4 linked regions of the Macaca mulatta genome follow. The protein of the gene in region 4 purifies or fractionates together with the protein of the main gene of each other region. This does not show direct contact. Links are inferred from orthologs where the notes say so. Each region holds a gene or a part of one and is shown on either strand. Other genes may lie near its edges.

Region 1 (4,727 bases), on a different chromosome or scaffold from region 4:
GCGTGAACCCGGGAGGCGGAGCTTGCAGTGAGCCGAGATCGCGCCACTGCACTCCAGCCTGGGCGACAGAGCGAGACAAAAAAAAAAAAAAAAAAAAAGAATTGCTGTGAGGGGTCAGGTGTGGTGGCTGATGTTTGTAATCATAGCACTTTAGGAGGGTGAGGTGGGTGGATCACCTGAAGTCAAGAGTTAGAGACCAGCCTGGCCATTATGGTGAAACCCCATCTCTACTAAAAATACAAAAATTAGCCGGACATGGTGGCAGGCACCTGTAGTCCCAGCTACTCGGAAGGTTGAGGCAGGAGAATTGCTTCAACCCAGGAGGCGGAGGTTGCAGTGAGCCAAGATCGCGCCATTTCACTCCAGCCTGGGCAACAAGAGCAAAAAAAAAAAAAAAAAAACAACCCAGAATTGCTGTCAGGCACAAAAATGCCCCACATAAAATAGATGCTTGATCAAATGGTCTCTTATTTAAAAAAAAATAAAAATAGCTATTATTGGAAGAAAGAAATAGACCCCAATTCTCCCCAAGTCCCTTCTGCCCTGAGATTCTAGACCTCTGCCTCGCTTCTCTGTCTTCCCAGCACCCCAGCTCCAGTCCGGGACACAGCCGACACTCAACAAATATTTGTCAAATTGGGAGAAAAAGAACTATATCTTGTAATTTTCCATCTTAACATCCTCTCTTCCAACTGCCCCCAGGACTGTCCCCCAGCCAAACCAGCCAGAAATCAGAGGATCCTAGGTTCCTCCACCCCTCCAACATTGCCTAGGAATTTCTGAGGGATCTTGGCCATGTCTTTTTCTCTTTGAGCCTCAGTTTCCCCAGCTGGGTAATAGGGGCATGGGTTTTGAATCCTGGCTGTCCTTGGAGAAGAGGCACAGCCCAGTAAGTCGGGTGTGACCACCTGCAGGGGAGACCCCTGGAAAGGTGGGAGTGGCCTTCTGGTGGGACAGGCATCTGGTCACTTCTGCACTGCACCCCACCCCAGCACCCCCACAAGGTGGGATGCTTGATCACCGCCCCAGCAAGAGGTGGGCCCTGTGGGAGGGCCAGGGCTTCCAGGGCTGCTGGTGGTGGTGGTGGTGGTGGTGGGGAGGGCAGGGGGCCGGCCCAGACACCACTCCTGCCCTTTTACGGTTGCAGTGAGTGAGGCAGCACTAACTCGGACATCCGCCATCCGCCTTCCACTGAGCCTGGGACCGGAAACGCGAGGGGGGTGGAGGGGCGGGGCTGGGGGGCAAGGGGAGAGAAGAGTCCCGGAGGAAGAGGGCGAAGGAAGAGAGCGACGCTCCCTAAACTGACCCCTCTCCAGGGCGGACTTGGAAGGGATGTTGCTATAATGGGGAGCGGATAGGATAGGCAGGAAGTCTTGAGGGTATCTGTGGGTGTCCTCCTTGCTCCAAATTTTCCAGCCATGCCTTTCACATCAGAAGGAACAAACGCGGGAGGGGAATTCTCTAGTGGTCATAAAAAGGAACGCCACTCCACTCCGATGTCAAAGGGCAGGGGTTCAGGAAATGCAGGGGATGTGGGCACCACGGGGTTAATCCCCAGCCGTCCCCAGGGGCCTCCCTGCTAAGGCTGGGGGCTTTGGGGCAGGAAGTCCCAGAGAGAGTGGAGGAAGGGAGATAGTATTGTCAGGCTCTGGCCCCATGGGAGAGATTATGGGGGGCCAGGGGAGGGGAGAATGGGAGGATGGTTGGGTCCCCCTGCCCACACTGGCCCCGCCCTCAGGTGAGTCCAGGAGTTCGGGGGAGGCCCCGGCCAGACCAAATCCCTGGGTCCCTTGGGCCGCCGCCCCCAGGATTAAATTCCTGGGAAGATAGCTGGAATTATCTGGGAAGCCTGGGTCCCTAGGGAAGAGGGCTATGACCTTGAAGCTTTCCAGCTCCCCTTCCTCCAACCCCAAGGCTCCGGATGGATGGGGGGGGCGGCGAGCAAAGGGGGAGGCGCCGTGGTGGGGAAGGCAGCCGGCCCACAGCGCTCGGTGCCCGCCCCCCACACCAGCTGTCTCGACAGGTGAGTCAGGAAGACAAAGGCCCCCTTCCCCCAGCTGCTGCGTCCCCTCCCTCCCCAGGGCCGCGCAGGTGGGGGAGCCGGGCCGCCCTTATGGCCCGGGGCAGGGAGCCGCCCTCTGCTCCGAGCGCCCGCTCTGTCCTAGGCACTGCCTGTTAAGCAGATTGCGTGCGGAGCGACGGGGGAGGGGAATCCCACCAGACTCCGGAGGCTGCGTCCGGGTCCCTGGATCGGTTCATACCAGCCTCTTCCACAGGAAGACCTAAGTGCCCCCCAAAATTTAGGGGATTAAGAAGTACCCCCGAAGTTCAGGAGCGCGGTCTCACTTGGGGAGACTTTTTCCAGCACCACGTAAACGGGGTCCCTGCACACCAAGGGTCTGAGTCTCAGTCTCTCTTCCAAGTCCCAGGGTCTCCCAAACCAGTCCCCCACAATCCTTCCCCGACCTCGAGCTGAAGTTTGGGGGGAGGGGGAGGAAAGTCTGAGCCCTGCCTCAATCCTGGCATCCCTGCGGGGAGTCGCTGCCAACTTTGAGGTCCTCTGAAAAAAAGTCTTAACAATTCGGGAGTCCTCCGAGCGTCCCCAAATCTTGAGGGCTCCCAGGGGAACCTCACCGCCACCACCCCCCGAGCTTGGGAAGTCAGTCGTGGAGAAGTGATCGACGGTTTTGGGGCTTGTCCTAGGGGATTCAGCCCAAATCCGAGGCTCCCAAGGATCTGTCCCCAAATTCCAGCCCGGAGCGAGCTTGGGGGGAGGGGGACAAAGGCGGGGCGCGGAGCCCGCCCGGGCGGGGACGGGTCGGGGGGCAGGTCCGGCTCACCTCATGGCTGATCTGCGGGCGGGCGGCGCGCCCACGGACTGGCTGCTCCCGGGGCGCCCCTGGCTGGAGGTTCAGGGGTTCGGGGCTGGCTCCGGGCTCGACTCAGGCTCCCCCAGGGTCCCGCCCCATAGAGTCCGGCTTCCTGGGTAGAACGTGGACCGGGCCGGGGCGGGTCTCCGGGCGCCGCTTCCCTCAGGCGATCTGATGAGAGGTCCCTGCGGCAGAAAGGGGATGCGGCGTCTGCTCCCCGACGCGCCCCCCTTGCCGGCGGCGGCTACACTGTTACTCTTACTACTGTACTTCTCTTCGTTACATTTCGTTCCAAAATTCCACTCCCCGCACCCACAATGCCCCGCGCCTTAAAGGGGCCGCGCGCGCCTCCAGGCGAGGGGGTGGAGGGCGCTTAAAAGGGCAACTCGGCACCCTCTGCTTCCGCGATCTTGCTGCTCTCCCCAACGTTATCGTCCAGGGGTGCACCCTGGGAGTCACCACCACATGGAGGGGCAAGCTTGGTGAAGGGGAAGGCGACCTCCCTTGCTCCCTAGTTCGCTTCCACTGTGGGAATTCTCAGGAGCGTCTCGGAAGGGGCACGATTTCTTTCCCCATCGACTTCTCCATCTCGTACTCCGCTCAATTTTGGGGGTCGAAGAGGACCCTCCAGTTAGTTAAGCAAGTGGTCTCAGATTTTCTCCCTGAAATTCCATCTTCGGAACCCCGCCCCTCCCCAGCGTCTCTCTTCTGTCAATTTCGGAGGGGTTACTAAGGGGGCGAGCCCCCCACCCGCGCGGGAGGGGAGGTGGGGGGGAGTAGGGCCCCACCCCTCTCACCCCACCCCGCCCGCCCCGGGAAGGTGAGGAGGAAGTGGGCCAAGGGGGCGCGGTCGGCCGCTGACTCACAGCCGCAGGGTCGGGGGTGGGGTGGGGGTGGAGGTGGGGACTGGCGAGGAGTGCCGGAGTTGGGGGCCTGGCATTCGCCCGAGGTGGGCAGGAGGCGCCGGCTTCTTGGGTATGTAAAGCCTCCGACCCACGTACGCCCCGCTCTGACTCAGTTTCGCCTGCGGAGGACAGCAGGATCATCCCAGCCCTCAGGAGGGCCCGGAGGTGAGGAGACCCTCCCCGGAGCCCCCGCCCCCACACGCCGGCTCCAGGCTGAGCCCAGACACCCTCCGAGGCTTCCGCAGCGTGTCTTGCCGGCCACGCCCCGAGTGACGTCACTGATGTGGTCGCGCCCCTTGGGTAGAGCGCCACCTGGCCCGGGTGAGGGCCCGGGTGAGGCCCTGGGAAATCAGTTTCACGTTTACACATGGGTAAACTGAGGCCTGGAGACAGGGAATGAATCTGGCCTATGACCCTCTTGCCTGAGCCCCCAGAACCCGGAAAGCCACCAAGATCTGAGTGTAAAACCAACAATTCTCAGGGCCAGCTGACTAGGTGAGAGAATCCACTTTTCCAGCGTATTTCCAAGCCGAGTCCCATGTCCGGATGTTTTCCTGACCTCCTTTACCTGGAGAGCACTTCCTCCTTACAGGCCAAGCTCTGACATTAATTACCCTCCCCTTCTCCACCCCACTCTGGGAGATCTTGAACCCTGATCCTCAGAGGTTATCATTGTTTCTCAGTGTGTCTCCTGAGGCTGAGTTGTCTGGGAGAAGGGGTAGACTTAATTTCTTTTTTCTTTCTTTTTTTTTTTTTTTTGAGATACAGTCTCCCTCTGTCGCCCAGGCTGGAGGGCACTGGCACGATCTCGGCTCACTGCAATCTCCCCCTCCTGGGTCCAAGCAATTCTCCTGCCTCAGCCTCCTAAGTAGCTGGGATTACAGGCACGGGCCACCAAGCCCAGCTAATTTTTATATTTTTAGTAGAGATGTGATTTCACCATGTTGGCCAG
Region 2 (4,866 bases), on a different chromosome or scaffold from region 4:
ACTCAACTTAAAAGACTAACATTTATGTCCCACAGGCCTTGAAAACATGAAGACTAAGCATATATTAATACAACCTGAAAAGCACTTTCTTAAGCACCAAAATATTCCAAAGAATATTTCAAAGACTTTTTTGCAAGCAGCACAAGAACGTTCTATCTCATACCAATCTCACTTTTACAGGTATCTAAGCATTCTAAGCACTACCTAACCACCTACCAAATAATCCAGTTCCTTCCAAAGTGAAAAGCTGACCCTCTTTCCTGCTCTTACTCAAAATTAGTGTATAAAGAATTACGGTAGACTGCTTAAATAAACTTTTCAGACCTGTGTACCAAGTTCTATATTTACGTTACTGGAAAACATCAGTGTGGTTCCTCTCTCTCTACACTTCACAAGGAACAGAGCAAGAAAAGAGCTTAAAAAACAGAAGTTACTTTTTATTAGAAAAGGAATTTTCAAGTGAAGACATAATTTACCTGTGACAGACTGACATCTATACATGACAGTGATTAAACTTTACTGAATACCCAAAACGGCAACTTTTTTTAGTTCACAATCTTTGAATTACACAACTATACCTGTTTTTATTTAAAAATAACCCACTTTTGGCCAGGCACGGTGGCTCACGCCTGTAATCCCAGCACTTTGGGAGGCCGAAGCGGGTGGATCACAAGGTCCAGAGATGGAGACCATCCTGGCTAACAAGGTGAAACCCTGTCTCTACTAAAAATACAAAAAATCAGCCGGGCATGGTGACACGCGCCTGTAATCCCAGCTACTTGGGAGGCTGAGGCAGGAGAATCGCTTGAACCCGGAGGCGGAGGTTGCAGTGAGCCAAGATCGCACCACTGCACTCCATGGGCGACAGAGCAAGACTGTATCTTTAAAAAAAAAAAAAAAAAAAAAAACTTTCACTGTTTTATATTTCTCAATGTTAAGCTAAGTTTACCCAAAGTTTGAAACAACTGATAACTTCTGGTCTGTAAGATCCCTACGGCATTAGATCTCTAAAACAGAAACCAACAACATATAATATTACAAGATACAACAATATGTATATTATAGTTCCTGAGTTTTCAAGGACATCAGTAAAAAAAGTCATGCTCAAACATATGACTGAAAGTTTTCAAGCCATATTTTACAAAGACTGTTTTTTGGTTTGTATGCTATAACTACTATTTAAACTGATCGCTTATATTTGAAAATAACTTGTGCGAAATCATCAAGGGAAAAGGGGTCAGTCACCTAGAGACACAACATTAAACTCACTCTTTAAGGCCATCATAAATACAGGTAACTTGGAATCAGAGAAAAAAATTCAAATTCACAGTAAGCGAAAGTGAAAATTCAACACAGATATATCACAAAATATATACATACAAAAGCCAAATGGAAACACGCTCAACCTTGATAGAAAAAAAATGAAAAGCAAAGTTTAAAATGGAAACCACCGAAATTGAGAAAGAATTCCAATGACATGACATTTTCTTGCCAAAGCGAAGGAATTTGTCGATTATATCATTCAAATCTCATTGTATTACATTATAAAGGTCTTGGCAACGGTTGACCATTAATCTTTAACACAAAGGAGATTCAAATCCAAATGAACTGTAAGACTATCTCTTCCAGGAGAGAGAAATGGAGTAATTTACTTTATCCACAATTGTTTAACCCAAAAGGAAGGCCTTTAAGGATGATAACGCAGAATGGATCAGCCTTCAGTCTACCAAGTCCCATTTCTCACGAAGTCTTGCACCAATCCGAAAAGAGAAGGTTATGGACACAAAACAGGCTTAGGAAAGGCTGGAAGAAAAAAATCTCCAATGAATGACACACCACATCATGGTTTATTCTCCTACACAATTTGAGAAACAATAAAGAAAAATATCACACCATATGTTTCAACGTATCAATTAAAAAAATATTTTACGACAGTACATTCAATTCTCTTCTTCGGGGCCGCAAAAATAATTTAGCTCCTGTTTTACTGATTACAGAGCAAAGGGCAAAAGCAGCTGCTGCAATGCAACACAGGCTGCTACAGAGGAAGGGGAGAAAAGGCTTTTCCAAACAAATCCGTTCCCCGCCCCCGCTTACACACCCCTACCAACTTATCCCAGTCTTTTACTGCCCCCACCACGTGAACCTAATCAATTCTTTCCCTTCCCCCACCATCGTGAAATTTCACCTTTTACAGCTCCTTTACCCACCCCTACCAGAGGCACTTTATTACCCGCAGAGATTTCAGACCTTTCAAACTTTTCCTCCTTTTATAATTAAACACGAGAGTTCGGAGGCAAAAGTGCATGAAATTTTTACATATATACGAAAAAATACCTGTTTCCCAGCAACATGCACGCTTCGATTCTCGAACCCCTCCCCATCTCCCGGGTTTCGCTTGCAAAGGCTGGGGGGAGGGAGCCAGGCGCAAATTAAATTTAGGAAGGGAAATCCTGGGTGAAAGAAGAGCATTTGAGGAAAAATGAGAGAACGATGAAAGGAGACCCCCAAACCACAGGGGTTGGGGAGGTTTCCAAGAAAGAAAGAGAAATTGGAAGGGACAAAAGGGGGAGGGGGGAGAAACAGACCGGAGACCTGGGAGACGCGCCGGGCCAGCAGAGGGAAGGCGGGGTCCAAGGAGAACGAGGGTCGCGGCTCCCGCGGCACAATGGCCCGCCCGGCCCCCGCCCCGCGCGCCCCTCACCTCATGGTGCCGGCGGCGTAGAGGCTTCCCCACCAGCTGGGAGACGCGGAAGGCGCCGAGCCGAGGGGGTCTCTCCTCCAGGGGTGGGGAGCAGCTCGGAGACTGGAGACAAGTGTTCGGCTCCTCCTTCGGCGGCCAGGGGGCTACACCATCTCCTCGCACAATGCCGAGGCGCCGGCCCGGAGTGTGGGAGAAGAGGGTGAGAGAAAGGCTGGGGAGGGGGCGGAGAGGACGAGGCGCGGAGCGGGTCCCCAGGCGGCCGCCGCCTCCCACCTCCTCGTGGTCCTGCTCCTCCTCCCGGAGCTTCCTCGGCCGCCCTCGGAGGGGTGCCCGCCGGGGCCGCGCGCCCGGCCGCCGCTCCACAGGCCCGCGCCCGCCGCGCCGCCGCCGAGGCCGTGTGCAACCGGCAGCTGCTGCAGCCGCGGGAGGAGAGTCGGGATCGCCGCGAGGAGCCCGGGAGGAGGCGGGGCGCGCGGCGGAGGAACACGCAGGCGCCGCCCTCCTCGCCTCCTTCCCCCGGGGGCGAGGGGGCGGTGCGGGGGGAGGGGAGGAGAGGGGAGGAAAGGGGAGGCGGGGGGCCGGGCGCGCTCCCCCGCGCCGGCGGCCGGGCCCCCGCCGGACTGCGGAGAGCTGACTGGGCGGGAGCGAGCGCGGCGGCGGCGGCGACGACGAAGAGAGGCTCTTTGTTGCCTCCCTACCCCGCCCCCTGCAACCTCCTGGGATTCGGGCCGGCCCCCCCCCACCCCCACCCAAAACGTCCCGTCCGCTGTCGGCCGGGGTTCCTCGCCGGGGGGTTCCTTGCCCGGAGTTGTCCTTGACTGTCGGCCCCCTCCCCGTCGCCTCCCGCTCCCCAGAGGCTTGGGGAACTCCGGGGCCTCCCCCACGGCCGCGGTGCGGAGACCTAGGCGCCGAGACCTCCTAGGCGCCGGACCCGCAGGCACCGGCGTGGGGAGCTGGGACGCGTGACTGACTGGGTACAGGGCCGGGCCAGGATACTCCGGGTCGGCTCGCGGCCGAGTGCCTCGCGCGGGGCGAGTGCTCAGCCCGCCCTGTTGCGGTCTCAGGACTGGGACGAGGGAATCGGGGGGCATCCCGGTCAGCCCAACCGCCCGACCCCGCCGCGGCCGCGCCCAGCGATTCCTGCGGAGTTGAGGAGGGGCATATAAATGGAAAATATGGTCATCATTGTTCCCTTCGCTCCTTCCCGAGGAATCCCAGCGTGCTGCGCCGATGGAACAAGCTGATGTGCACACTAGGTATAGGGATGACTTCATCCCCAAACGAACGCAGCCGACTCTGGGGGAAACGCAGTCGCCGGAGACGCGCGCGGAACCGTGTGTTGCCGTAAGAGTGGAAGAAGAGAAACGCAGCCAGTGGAACCGCTTTCCAGCGTCATTAGCAGAGGGAATCCCGGGCAGGGGCGGGGAGAAAGAGGAACTAATGATAATTTTAAATCTTCCGTCATTCCCAATGGTCTTGAAGTCACCTCCCTTAAAAAGTAGATATAAAATACTGGCAAGGCAATTTCAAGTCAAGTCGGGGAGGAGGGCATCCAGGAAGCCAGAATTGATAGTTGTTGTTGAGGTTTTTTTGGTTTTTTTTTTTAATCTAAAAACAAATCCAATAATAAAAAATTTAACTGTACGAATTACAGCCCCCTTTTAGTCCCGAAGACAGGGATGTACTTTCTGTATAAAAGATGAGGATGAGAAAGGATTGTTGCTACAGGGATCCTGTTGCTGAAGGATCTCATCCAAAATGGAGGACCTGCCATGACTCCAGGAATCCGTTCAAAAGTTTCGGTGTTTTGTTTTAAGATGCAGGTACCATTCAAAAGATAGTTATAAAGGTTGGGATAATGTACACTTCCAAATGAAAAGACAAGTTATAGTGATCCACGGTCAATGCCTGACTTGCCTGTAATAGAACTGTGTAGCCCATTTTTAACCATAAAAAAGCTTCCTGGTTTCAGTCGGGTGCGGTGGCTCACACCTGTAATCCCAGCACTTTGGGAGGCTGAGGCGGGTGAATCATCTGAAGTCAGGAGTTCCAGACCACCCTGGCCAACATGGCAAGACCCTGTCTCTACTAAAAATACAAAAAAAAAAAAAAAAAGAAATAGCCGAGTGTGGTGGTGCACGCCTGTAATCCCAGCTACTGGG
Region 3 (4,586 bases), about 46 Mb from region 4:
ATATACATTATTCATATATATGTGAATTCCTGATTATGAGTTAAAATGTATTTATCATGAAGCTGGGTCCAAAAAAAAAAAAAAAAAGTGTGAAAGTGACTGCTGTAGAGCACTATTTTCTATGTGTGTTCTATAAGATACTAGTTCCTTGGGAGCTCAATTAAGTTTAGGACCAAACCATACTCCCTAGAGATTTACTATGTTCAAAACACATTAGCATTTCCAAGAGCCCAGCATTAAAGAAAACTGTTTATTTTTGTAGAATCAGTTTTTCCCACACTTATTCCATCCCAGAACCCACCCACTTTTATTCTACATAGCACTTACTGACATCTTCAGAACTAGCACTTTGTGGCACATACACTCGGGAGGAAACATTCCTCTAGATGAAAAGGAAGGTGAATAGCTAGAAGTTACAGAAGGTAGATTTTTAGCTTGCTAAAAAAGGAAAAAATACTGCCTTTGAACCTTTCTGCCACTGACATCCACCCCCTACAACTTTTACCCTAATCACATACCCCAACGCATTTTAAATATTATTTATATCCAACTTACAGTTCACACAAATCTCAGAAAAAGTACAGGACACCTGTAAGATCAAGATATGATGCCAGGATCAAAGCATTAAGCAGGAATCATCTGGTCAAAAGAAACTCCTGGCACAGTATTTAAGGAAGACTTACTTTACCTTAACAAAACTCATGCTCAGGAACCAAAGCAGCCAAAGACTTAATCGGCTCCTCCAAGTGGACTCAATGTGTTCTAATAATACATAATCTAAAATGGGCTGATGGGTGCAGCTAATCCTCATTATTATGAGCATCATTATTATCATCACTTGCAAGAGCCATGTGACAATATTTACAAGATTCTGGATTCTTTTAAAGTGTATGCATACCCAAGATTCCTTTGGGAGAAAGTAATTTCACATTTATATCAAAAACTGTCACTACCATAGTCAGCTCTAATATTTGATATCACTTGGTAATAAAGGTTTGTCATCATATACTCAAGAGTAATCCTGTTACTCAAATCTTCCTAACTGGGAGTTACGAATACCTCTGACTCTGCTCTTTTAGCTGTCAAGAGCATAAAATGCCCTTCCCGCTCTTTACTCACTTCCAGACTCCAAAGCCACCTCCTCCTCAAAGTCTGGCCCAACTACTGTGGACCACTATTTTTCTCCCAGTTACTGAGTACTGTCAGCACTTTTTGTTCTATCACTCTTTGGGTAATTCACTGTACACTTTCTAGTTTATTTAACTGCACAAAACTTAGTTCTCAACAAGACTATAACTGCCTTATGAACAGGGATCAACACTTAAGAATCTCCAGAATCTCCTACAACATCATGTAAGATTCTTGATTTACAAGAACATCATGTTCCTTGATTTAAGTAACTAGGCTTAAGAGTAACAAATAGCAGCTTGTTTTAAGACAGTTTACTACGTGCCAGATCCAGCGCTAAATGCATACATAATTATCTAAGTTTTCATAACTCTATAGAGGTAAGTGCTATTATTTTCTCCATCAAATAGAAGAAGAAAGTGAGCCTCAGAGTAACTTGCTCAAGGTCATACTGCTAGTAAGTGGCAAAACCAGGGCCTGAATCCAGGAAAGCTCTTAACTACCTCAGAACACTGAAAAGTTCCAACCCTACAATAAGAGTCTATGCATGATTTCGATTTCACTAAGTTAGAAGTTTTAATTTCAATAGAACAGAGATATTTTAGCTAAAAGTTAAAACTTAACTTTAAGAAAAATTAAGACAAATAATTTCCCACACACATCTTTATAATAAAACGAGGGGAAAACCTCCCATGTCCTATTTATGAAAGTAATATAAAGGTGGGGGGGATCACAATTTCATCAAGAAGTGGCTTATGACAATACAGCTTTGGTTCAAATTTTTAAATAGGACTCTTTTTCTCTGCCCCTAGGAGGAACGTGGAAATGAAAGATGGATGTGATAACTGTCAATTCAGAGCTCTGCAAAACGCCAGACTCGTTTTAGAAAATAAGAGCCGGGGCTCTAGTTCCACCCTTGACTCTTCACACAAAGAGTAACAAAAACAAAAACAAAAAAAAAGAAAAGAAAACAAGCAGCACCATCCTCTGCCCTCTTCACACAAAGCAAGCTTTACCCCACTACCCAAAGGGGAGTGCTGATTCACACGGTCTCCCCATCCCTGCCAGACATGGGTCCCAAACACCAACCGTTGCATAGACGTAGACGACTTTGGTCTGCCCCCGACCCCCACACCTGGTGATACCTCATCAAGCAGACCCCTCTCCTACATCCAAAATGCCCAGGGCCACCATCCGAAAGCCAGTATCTTACACAAAGCAGGACCCCGGCCTACAAAGCAGTTTCCCACCTCCGACTCCTCCCCAGGCGAACAGCCCTTCTCAAGCTGCCCCAATCCACAGACCCCAATAGGGTCCAGCACCCAGAAGGTCCACAATCCAAAGGAGAACGAGCTACAACCCTGTTACTTGCGCACGCCTCGAACCCCCAACTCCAGCTGAGGTTCCCTCTGCCAAAGCAAGAAAACCACGAGTCCCCACGGGAGTTTTCTCGACTACACAAAGCGAGGCGCCAGACCAGAGGGACCCTCAGAGGACGCTCTCCGCCCCCGGGTCCGTCCCCGCCCAGCTCCGACCCGGCGCCCCAAGCTCACCAGCTCTCCTCTTCCTCCTCCCAGCCTGACAGGCGCTCCAGCTCGTCGGGCCGCAGCGGCTCCACCTCGTCCAACAAGCCGCCCTCGCCCGCCGCCAGCAAGGAGGTGGCGTCCCGCAGCTCTTCGCTACTCGTCCGCCTCGGGACCGACCCGGCCCCGCCGCCCGACTTGGCGCTGAGGCCCAAGGGGAAGCCCCGAGGAGACGCCGCGCCGGAGGAGGGAATGGACGCGCCGGCCCGAATCGGGCTGCCGGGCCCTAGGGAGCCGGCGCCCTGCACGGCCCCCGAGCGACTCCTCAGCTGTTCGTTCTGTTTCTCCAGCTTCTTCACCAGCTCCTGCAGCTTTCGCACCTCCTGGTCCGCGTTCACGTTGGAGTTAACGTCCTCCATCCCGGCCCCGCCGCCTCCGCCGCCCGCTCGCTCTCGCAGCGACAGGGAAAGAGCCGGAGGAAAGAGGCGTCGCCGCCACTCACTCTAGCCGAGGCGCCGGCATATAGCAGGACCAGGCCCCACCGCCAGGGTCCCCCCACCTCGGGTTCCAAAGCGCCGCTGGCCCCAGCCGAGCTGCCTCATCTGCGCCGGCTCCGGGATTGGGGGAGGCGGCGCCAATATCCGGCCTCTGCCGCCATCTTCCCTCCGTCCCTCCGCCCCCCGCGGGCCGGCCCCGTCGGTGACCTCAGAGCGTCGCGGGTGGACGCGGCCGCCGGCGGGCGCTGAGAGGACCGGGCGCCGGTTCGCGGCGGGGCGGGGCCACTGACGGGGCCTATGGGGCGGGGCCGGTGTTCGAGGGGCGGGGATTAGGCCGGAAGGGGCGTGTCGGCGGACGTGGGACGAGGCCGGGCTGGTTAGGGAGGGTTCCTGCAGGCCGGGAGGCGAGTAGGCGGCTCGCCGCTGGCGGGACTGAGGTGGCTAACACGGACCTCGATCAGCCCCGCCTGTTGGCCTGGGCGTGTGGGGTGTTCTCCACCCCTTACACGGAGTGTGGGACCCGCGGGCCAGTCTCGCGCTTGTTCCGGGCCAGACCTCGAGTGGGCGCTCAGCCCGGCTGTGGAGAGACAGTTTACTTTTTCAGCAAATATTTAATCGATGCCGACTTTTAATTGGAGATTGTCTCGGCTGGCGGGATCGTCTGAGACTGCCTGTGTCCTGTTTCTTCCCCTGAAAATAAACCCCAGTTTCAGACAGTTAAGAGAGGTCTAAGGTCAAAATAATAATCATAATTGCTTGAGTGCTTCCTACTGGCCAGACACTGTGCTAAGCAGTTTTAAAGGCATTATCTCATCCGTTAAAACATAGTTTTCCCGGCTTAAAGTTTGCAGCACACAGGGGCGGAAGCAAGGGATAGTAAACCGCTTCTCTACCCCCTTTCTCCGTTTATTGACTCACATTCTGCTCCTTGGATCATTTTCTTCGGAAAAAGTTCCTCATAGTGTGTCTTGATTTTTTTTTAAAGTTGTGTGTTAAAAGTACTTAAACACGCTGACAGATAGTGAAGAATGCAGAAAATTGTATGAATGTGAAGTCCGCCTTTAGAATGTGGCAGCAAACCCAAACAAAACTTAAATGCTTTATTTTGATCACATTCATTGGTCTTCAGATGTCAATTGTGAACTGCTTTGGCTTGTGTTTGCAGCTTTTCTTCAGTTGCCGCCTCCACCCTTAGTTTAATAACAATGATCCAGTCCTGTTACACCTGAGTGTGGACTCATTGCCATGACTGGCTTGCTTCTATCCTTTAGCTTTTCTAGTACCATATTCTCCGCCTGCCATATCTGATTCCCTTTCTTAAATCCCATACTCACTCATTCAGGAAACCTCTTCCTGACAATTCCACAAAGATCTAATTATTCTGCGTATTCTAGCACTACCTGATCAGTAGTTCTCAATAGGTGTTTGCACTTTTTAA
Region 4 (4,596 bases):
TCCAAGTATCTGATGGTCGACTTTTCTGTTAGTGAACTGGTGGGGGGGAGTGAAGTATTAAGTTATCCAAGTATCTGATGGTCGACTTTTCTGTTAGTGAACTGGCCACATGCTGCATACACTCAGTGCAGATTTCAGGAGAAATCCAGCCAGGCCGGCCGGGCGCGGTGGCTCACGCCTGTAATCCCAGCACTTTGGGAGGCTGAGGCGGGTGGATCGCAAGGTCAGGCGATCGAGACCATCCTGGCTAACACGGTGAAACCCCGTCTCTACTAAAAAATACAAAAAAATTAGCCGGGCGTGGTGGCGGGTGCCTGTAGTCCCAGCTACTCGGGGAGCCTGAGGCAGGAGAATGGCATGAACCTGGGGTGGGTAGAGTTTACAGTAAGTGGACATAGTGCCACTGCACTCCAGCCTGGGCAACAGAGCAAGACTCCATCTCAAAAAAAAAAAAAAAAAAAAATTCCAGCCAAGGCCTGACAGAACAGGACAGCACGTTTCTGCAAGAGCCATCGGACAGAGAGGGTGAAGCTCCAGCATGTCCAGTAGCATGAACACTTACTTCTCTTTCTGAGTCCACACCGGGTGACAGTTTTCCAGTCCAAGGGTATCACCCTGAGCCAAAGGAGCCTCAAGTTTGCTGGCCATGCTAGGACTTAGAATCCTGTGCGTCTGTGGATCCCGCAGAGGTGTCTGAAAAGTCACCTGTTGTGGAGTGAGGAGGAGAGCACCCATTCATTAGTTCAAGCTGTTACAGCCACACCAGCAGTGTCCTGCAGCTCAGAGGTCACCAGGAAAGCAGGTCCTAGGGCAACCTGGCTAGCCACACACTGTAGAGGTCACACTTACCTTCATAGCTTTGGCCACGTTCTTGGGTGGCACATTTTCTTTCTGTGACACACGAAGAACAGACGATCTTCCGGTAACTTCTGGTGAGGAAAACAGGAAGTCGCAATTTTCTGTACTTTTTTCACTGCTGACATTTTTGTCGTTTAAGACCTGCAGACTCATTCTGGAAAAGCAGAACATGTTTGTGTCAGTGTGAGGGCAACACAACCATGTTGTCCAGACACAGACATGACAGCTGCCGCAGGGAGCACGACCCCTTCCGGCACAGGTGTGCTCATTGTTCTGGAGCTCACACCTCCCACACATGTCCTCTGCCAAGTGGGGCAGAGAAAGCCTCCGATTGAGTCCCCATCCTGCTTCAGAGACTCACTCTCCAGCCTGGCACCGGGAGCCATGGGCAGCACCGCTGCCTCCTGGGACCAAGAGCTAAAGGGCCTTCAGGCTAAGATGGTGAGAAAGAAAAACCAAGACCGCATAATCTCTACTGTTGTATTACCACGTCAGGCAGAAGTCAGGAGACAGGAAAGCCCTGGCCTATAAGAAACCCAGAAGAGCCAGAGGAAGCCGCGGTCTCCCCACCGGCCTCCGCGTGTGGCGTGAGGCAGGACCGGGCAGCAGAGGGCAGAAAAGCAGGACAGCGGCTCTGGTCTGCTTTCTCCCACCGGGCTAGGCAGCGGGACAAGACCAGGCTGGGGTGAAGGCCCAGAGGAGGAGCTGGGAGACAGTAGGCGAACAAGGGACGCCCAGAGCTGAGCAGCAGGTGCCAAGGAGCTTCCATATCAGGGCCTCCAGTCAGTCCCAGGTTCCAGGGCCGCCCAGGTCCTCACACCAGTCACCCACACACTTGCCACCCTTTCTGTCTACAGCGTTCCCAGTCTAGGGAATGACGTAGGCAGAAAGGCTGCCAGAGAGAACCGAGTGTCGACCTGGGCAGGAACCCCACGGGCACCTGTTGGTGGTGGGGGACCTGGGAAGGCTTTGATTTGAAAAAGAGCAAAGTTGGGGAGGGTCCTGGAGAAGAGAGAGGGGCAGCCCGGGCAGGTCGGTGCTGCAGCTTGAGAAGCCCACTGTGGTGCTGTGTGTGGGTAGGGAAGTAAGGGCAGGAGGGAAGCAGGGAAACCACACGCTTCTGCAGCCCGAGGAGTAGAGGCCAGACCAGACCCGGGCCTGGCCACTGGCATATATGGGACTTACAGACGACGCTTAGGTTTTTGGCCTGAATAACTGGGTACAGGGCAGGGGAAGGGCAGCTGGATCACTGGGGGACACGCAAGCCTGGAACTCAGGGAGAAAGTGACTCGGAGGAAGCCTTCCGGCGGCCTGGAGGAGTGCGGGAGAGCAGCAGACCCAGCCTTGGTCAGGAGGGGCCTTTACCGACTATGGAGCCCCGGGAGGGGCTCTGGGCAGGGAAGGGACCGGCCCCAGGCCGGTGCTTTGATGCTACTCTGGTGCACAAGTGGGATGCGGCGCGGGGGAAGATGGAGCGGCGCAGCAGGTGCGGGGAAGCGGTCGGGGCCCAGGTGTCCGCCACAGGTGGCCCAGATGGAGTTGGCACCAGGACGGAGGCCGGAAGGGACCAAAGAACCACAAGAGGGTCTGCGAGCTGGGAGCCAACAAAGAACCAGGGTGGGCGGCCGAGAGGCAGGAGAGGGTCGAAGAGAACAAAGCACTTCAGGGCGCCCGCTCCGCCGTCGGGCTCGGCCCAGCCCTAGCCGCCCCCGGCCACCGCCCAGGGGATCCAGCCCGGTGGTCGGTCTAGGGCCGGGTCCCATGACAGGGCGCGGGACGGGCCCCGGCGGCCCGGGAAGAAGCCGTGGGGGACGCTTCCCGGGGAAAGCTGCGGCCAGGGCGGGAAGGCGAGGGCCGAGGGCGGGGCGGGACGGCCTCGCGCCCCCGGGACCCCAGCCTCCCCGTGCCGTGTAGACGCTCGTCTACCTGCCTGCCCGCCCGTTGCCGGGCTCTGAGCCCGCGCCGCCGCCGCCAGGAAGGAGGGGTCTGGATATGCGTCTGCTCCGCGCCGGGGGCGAGCCTAGTTGCTGCCGCTGCCGCGCTTCCAGCCCTTGATGGCCGCCGGCGCGCCCGAGTTTCAAACGCCGACGGTTGCCTTCGCGCGGCCAATCAGCACGCGGCCGGGGGCGGGACCGTAGGAGGGTGGGGGTCCAATGGGAAGCTGTGTCTCGCCGGCCCCGCCCCCCCGTGCGCCGACGGTTCCGTTTCCGGAGTGGAGGGCCTGCCGGGGGTGTCTGAAGCTGAGACCGCCGGCTCGCCGTCGCCGCACGAATTTCGGGTTCTGCAGCTGACGCTACTGGGCGGGGCTTCGTGGCCAGGGACTGAGAGCCGCTGGCTCAGGCCTAAGTTTCCCCAGCTGTGCATTGAGACCAGGTGCAGTGCCGCCTCCAGGGCGGGCCCTGAAGAGAGGCCGCACCCTCACGGGGACTGCATCTCCCAGAGCGCCCCGCGGGCGGCCGGGCGGCGGGACTCCATCTCCTAGAGTGCCCCGCGGGCGGCCGGGTGGCGGCTGCCGCAACCGACACGTCGGGGTCTGGGCGCTGCGGCCTCTTCCCCGCGCCGGGGGCGGGGTCCTCGCCGGACAGCTTCCCGGCGGCGGCGCGATGGACAGCCCCGAGGTGACCTTCACTCTCGCCTATCTGGTGTTCGCCGTGTGCTTTGTGTTCACGCCTAACGAGTTCCACGCGGCGGGGCTCACGGTGCAGAACCTGCTGTCGGGCTGGCTGGGCAGCGAGGACGCCGCCTTCGTGCCCTTCCACTTGCGCCGCACGGCCGCCACGCTGTTGTGCCACTCGCTGCTGCCGCTCGGTGAGGCTGCTCCGGCCGGCCAGCCGCGTCCTCTCCTGCGCAGGGCTTGCTGGGAGGTCAGGAGGAGGCCTCCGCCAGCTCGCCGAGGCCCCGAAAGCGCCTGGGCGCAGCTGGGGAGAGGCGCCGGTCCTCATCCAGAGGGACCGCGGCGTGGGCTGAGCGCGCTTAGGGGCGCCGCCGGCGCTGGCTTGCAGGTGACGGGAACCCAAGTACAGAACCTTGGGCAGGGGATGCCCCGGCTCACCATGTCCTGAACCGTCACATGCCTGGGGGTTCCAAGGCCAAGCAGCCTTTGCTTGTCGTGGTTGCGGGCAGTGGCCAGGAGAAGGCAACTGTTGATTGAGTCCAACAGAAGGGGTCGGAGGGACTGTGTGGAGGGTGGCATTGCTCTAGGCCTTGGAAGGTGGGTGTGGGGAGAACGGGCGGATTTGGAGGCAGTTCCAGTTTGGGGGCGCCACAGAGGCAGAGGCTGAGGAGGGCCTCTGTGCAGGTGGGACCCTCAGAGTTGTCCGGGGGGTGTTGGGCTGGGCCCCAGGTGGTAACTGGGGCTCTGGAAGGTCCCCGTCTCAGCCAGTTGGATGACAGACAGGTGGGAGATGGGGGGTGCAGTGGTTGGAAAGGGATTTCAAGGGGGGACCTCTGGAGGACACAGGGGCAGACGCAGCTCTGGGAGGACAAATGGCCAGTGGCTGGCCAGGTCTGCCGCTCTGGGGAAACAAGAGGGGTGACCCTCCACATCCCGGTGTGAGCATGCAGCTGCCCGGGCCCGGGGGAGCTGGAGGCAGGTGTGGGGTGGAGACGCCCAGGCCTGCCTCAGGCTGGGGGCCCACTTGGGAAATGGATGGGGCTGAGTGGGGCTAGGGCCCTGACCAGGCCGCTTTCGAGGCCTACTGGGTGGGTTTCTGTATCCCTTCCAACTGCACCCTCCCC

Evidence for each region. The genes of interacting proteins can lie anywhere in the genome.
Region 1: the proteins of TACC3 (region 4) and VASP purify together in Homo sapiens (co-immunoprecipitation; 3 studies listed by BioGRID and IntAct, with this or other methods). This does not show direct contact. The link is inferred for Macaca mulatta from reciprocal best matches to the Homo sapiens genes TACC3 and VASP.
Region 2: the proteins of TACC3 (region 4) and ENAH purify together in Homo sapiens (co-immunoprecipitation; 3 studies listed by BioGRID and IntAct, with this or other methods). This does not show direct contact. The link is inferred for Macaca mulatta from reciprocal best matches to the Homo sapiens genes TACC3 and ENAH.
Region 3: the proteins of TACC3 (region 4) and SLAIN2 purify together in Homo sapiens (co-immunoprecipitation; 3 studies listed by BioGRID and IntAct, counting the BioPlex papers as one, with this or other methods). This does not show direct contact. The link is inferred for Macaca mulatta from reciprocal best matches to the Homo sapiens genes TACC3 and SLAIN2.

What each region holds. Positions count from the first base shown.
Region 1 is NC_133424.1:58,036,423-58,041,149, reverse strand, and holds the start of VASP (vasodilator-stimulated phosphoprotein), read right to left. Parts: upstream 3,139-4,727; 5' UTR 2,846-3,138; coding exon 2,841-2,845; intron 1-2,840. UniProt on the Homo sapiens protein: Ena/VASP proteins are actin-associated proteins involved in a range of processes dependent on cytoskeleton remodeling and cell polarity such as axon guidance, lamellipodial and filopodial dynamics, platelet activation and cell migration.
Region 2 is NC_133406.1:83,381,922-83,386,787, forward strand, and holds the start of ENAH (protein enabled homolog), read right to left. Parts: upstream 3,139-4,866; 5' UTR 2,710-3,138; coding exon 2,705-2,709; intron 1-2,704. UniProt on the Homo sapiens protein: Ena/VASP proteins are actin-associated proteins involved in a range of processes dependent on cytoskeleton remodeling and cell polarity such as axon guidance and lamellipodial and filopodial dynamics in migrating cells.
Region 3 is NC_133410.1:47,847,559-47,852,144, reverse strand, and holds the start of SLAIN2 (SLAIN motif-containing protein 2), read right to left. Parts: upstream 3,139-4,586; 5' UTR 3,071-3,138; coding exon 2,682-3,070; intron 1-2,681.
Region 4 is NC_133410.1:1,837,281-1,841,876, reverse strand, and holds the start of TACC3 (transforming acidic coiled-coil-containing protein 3), read right to left. Parts: upstream 3,138-4,596; 5' UTR 2,785-3,137; intron 1,013-2,784; 5' UTR 1,012-1,012; coding exon 850-1,011; intron 706-849; coding exon 563-705; intron 1-562. Other genes in the region: TMEM129 (E3 ubiquitin-protein ligase TM129), read left to right, coding at 3,462-3,666. UniProt on the Homo sapiens protein: Plays a role in the microtubule-dependent coupling of the nucleus and the centrosome. Involved in the processes that regulate centrosome-mediated interkinetic nuclear migration (INM) of neural progenitors.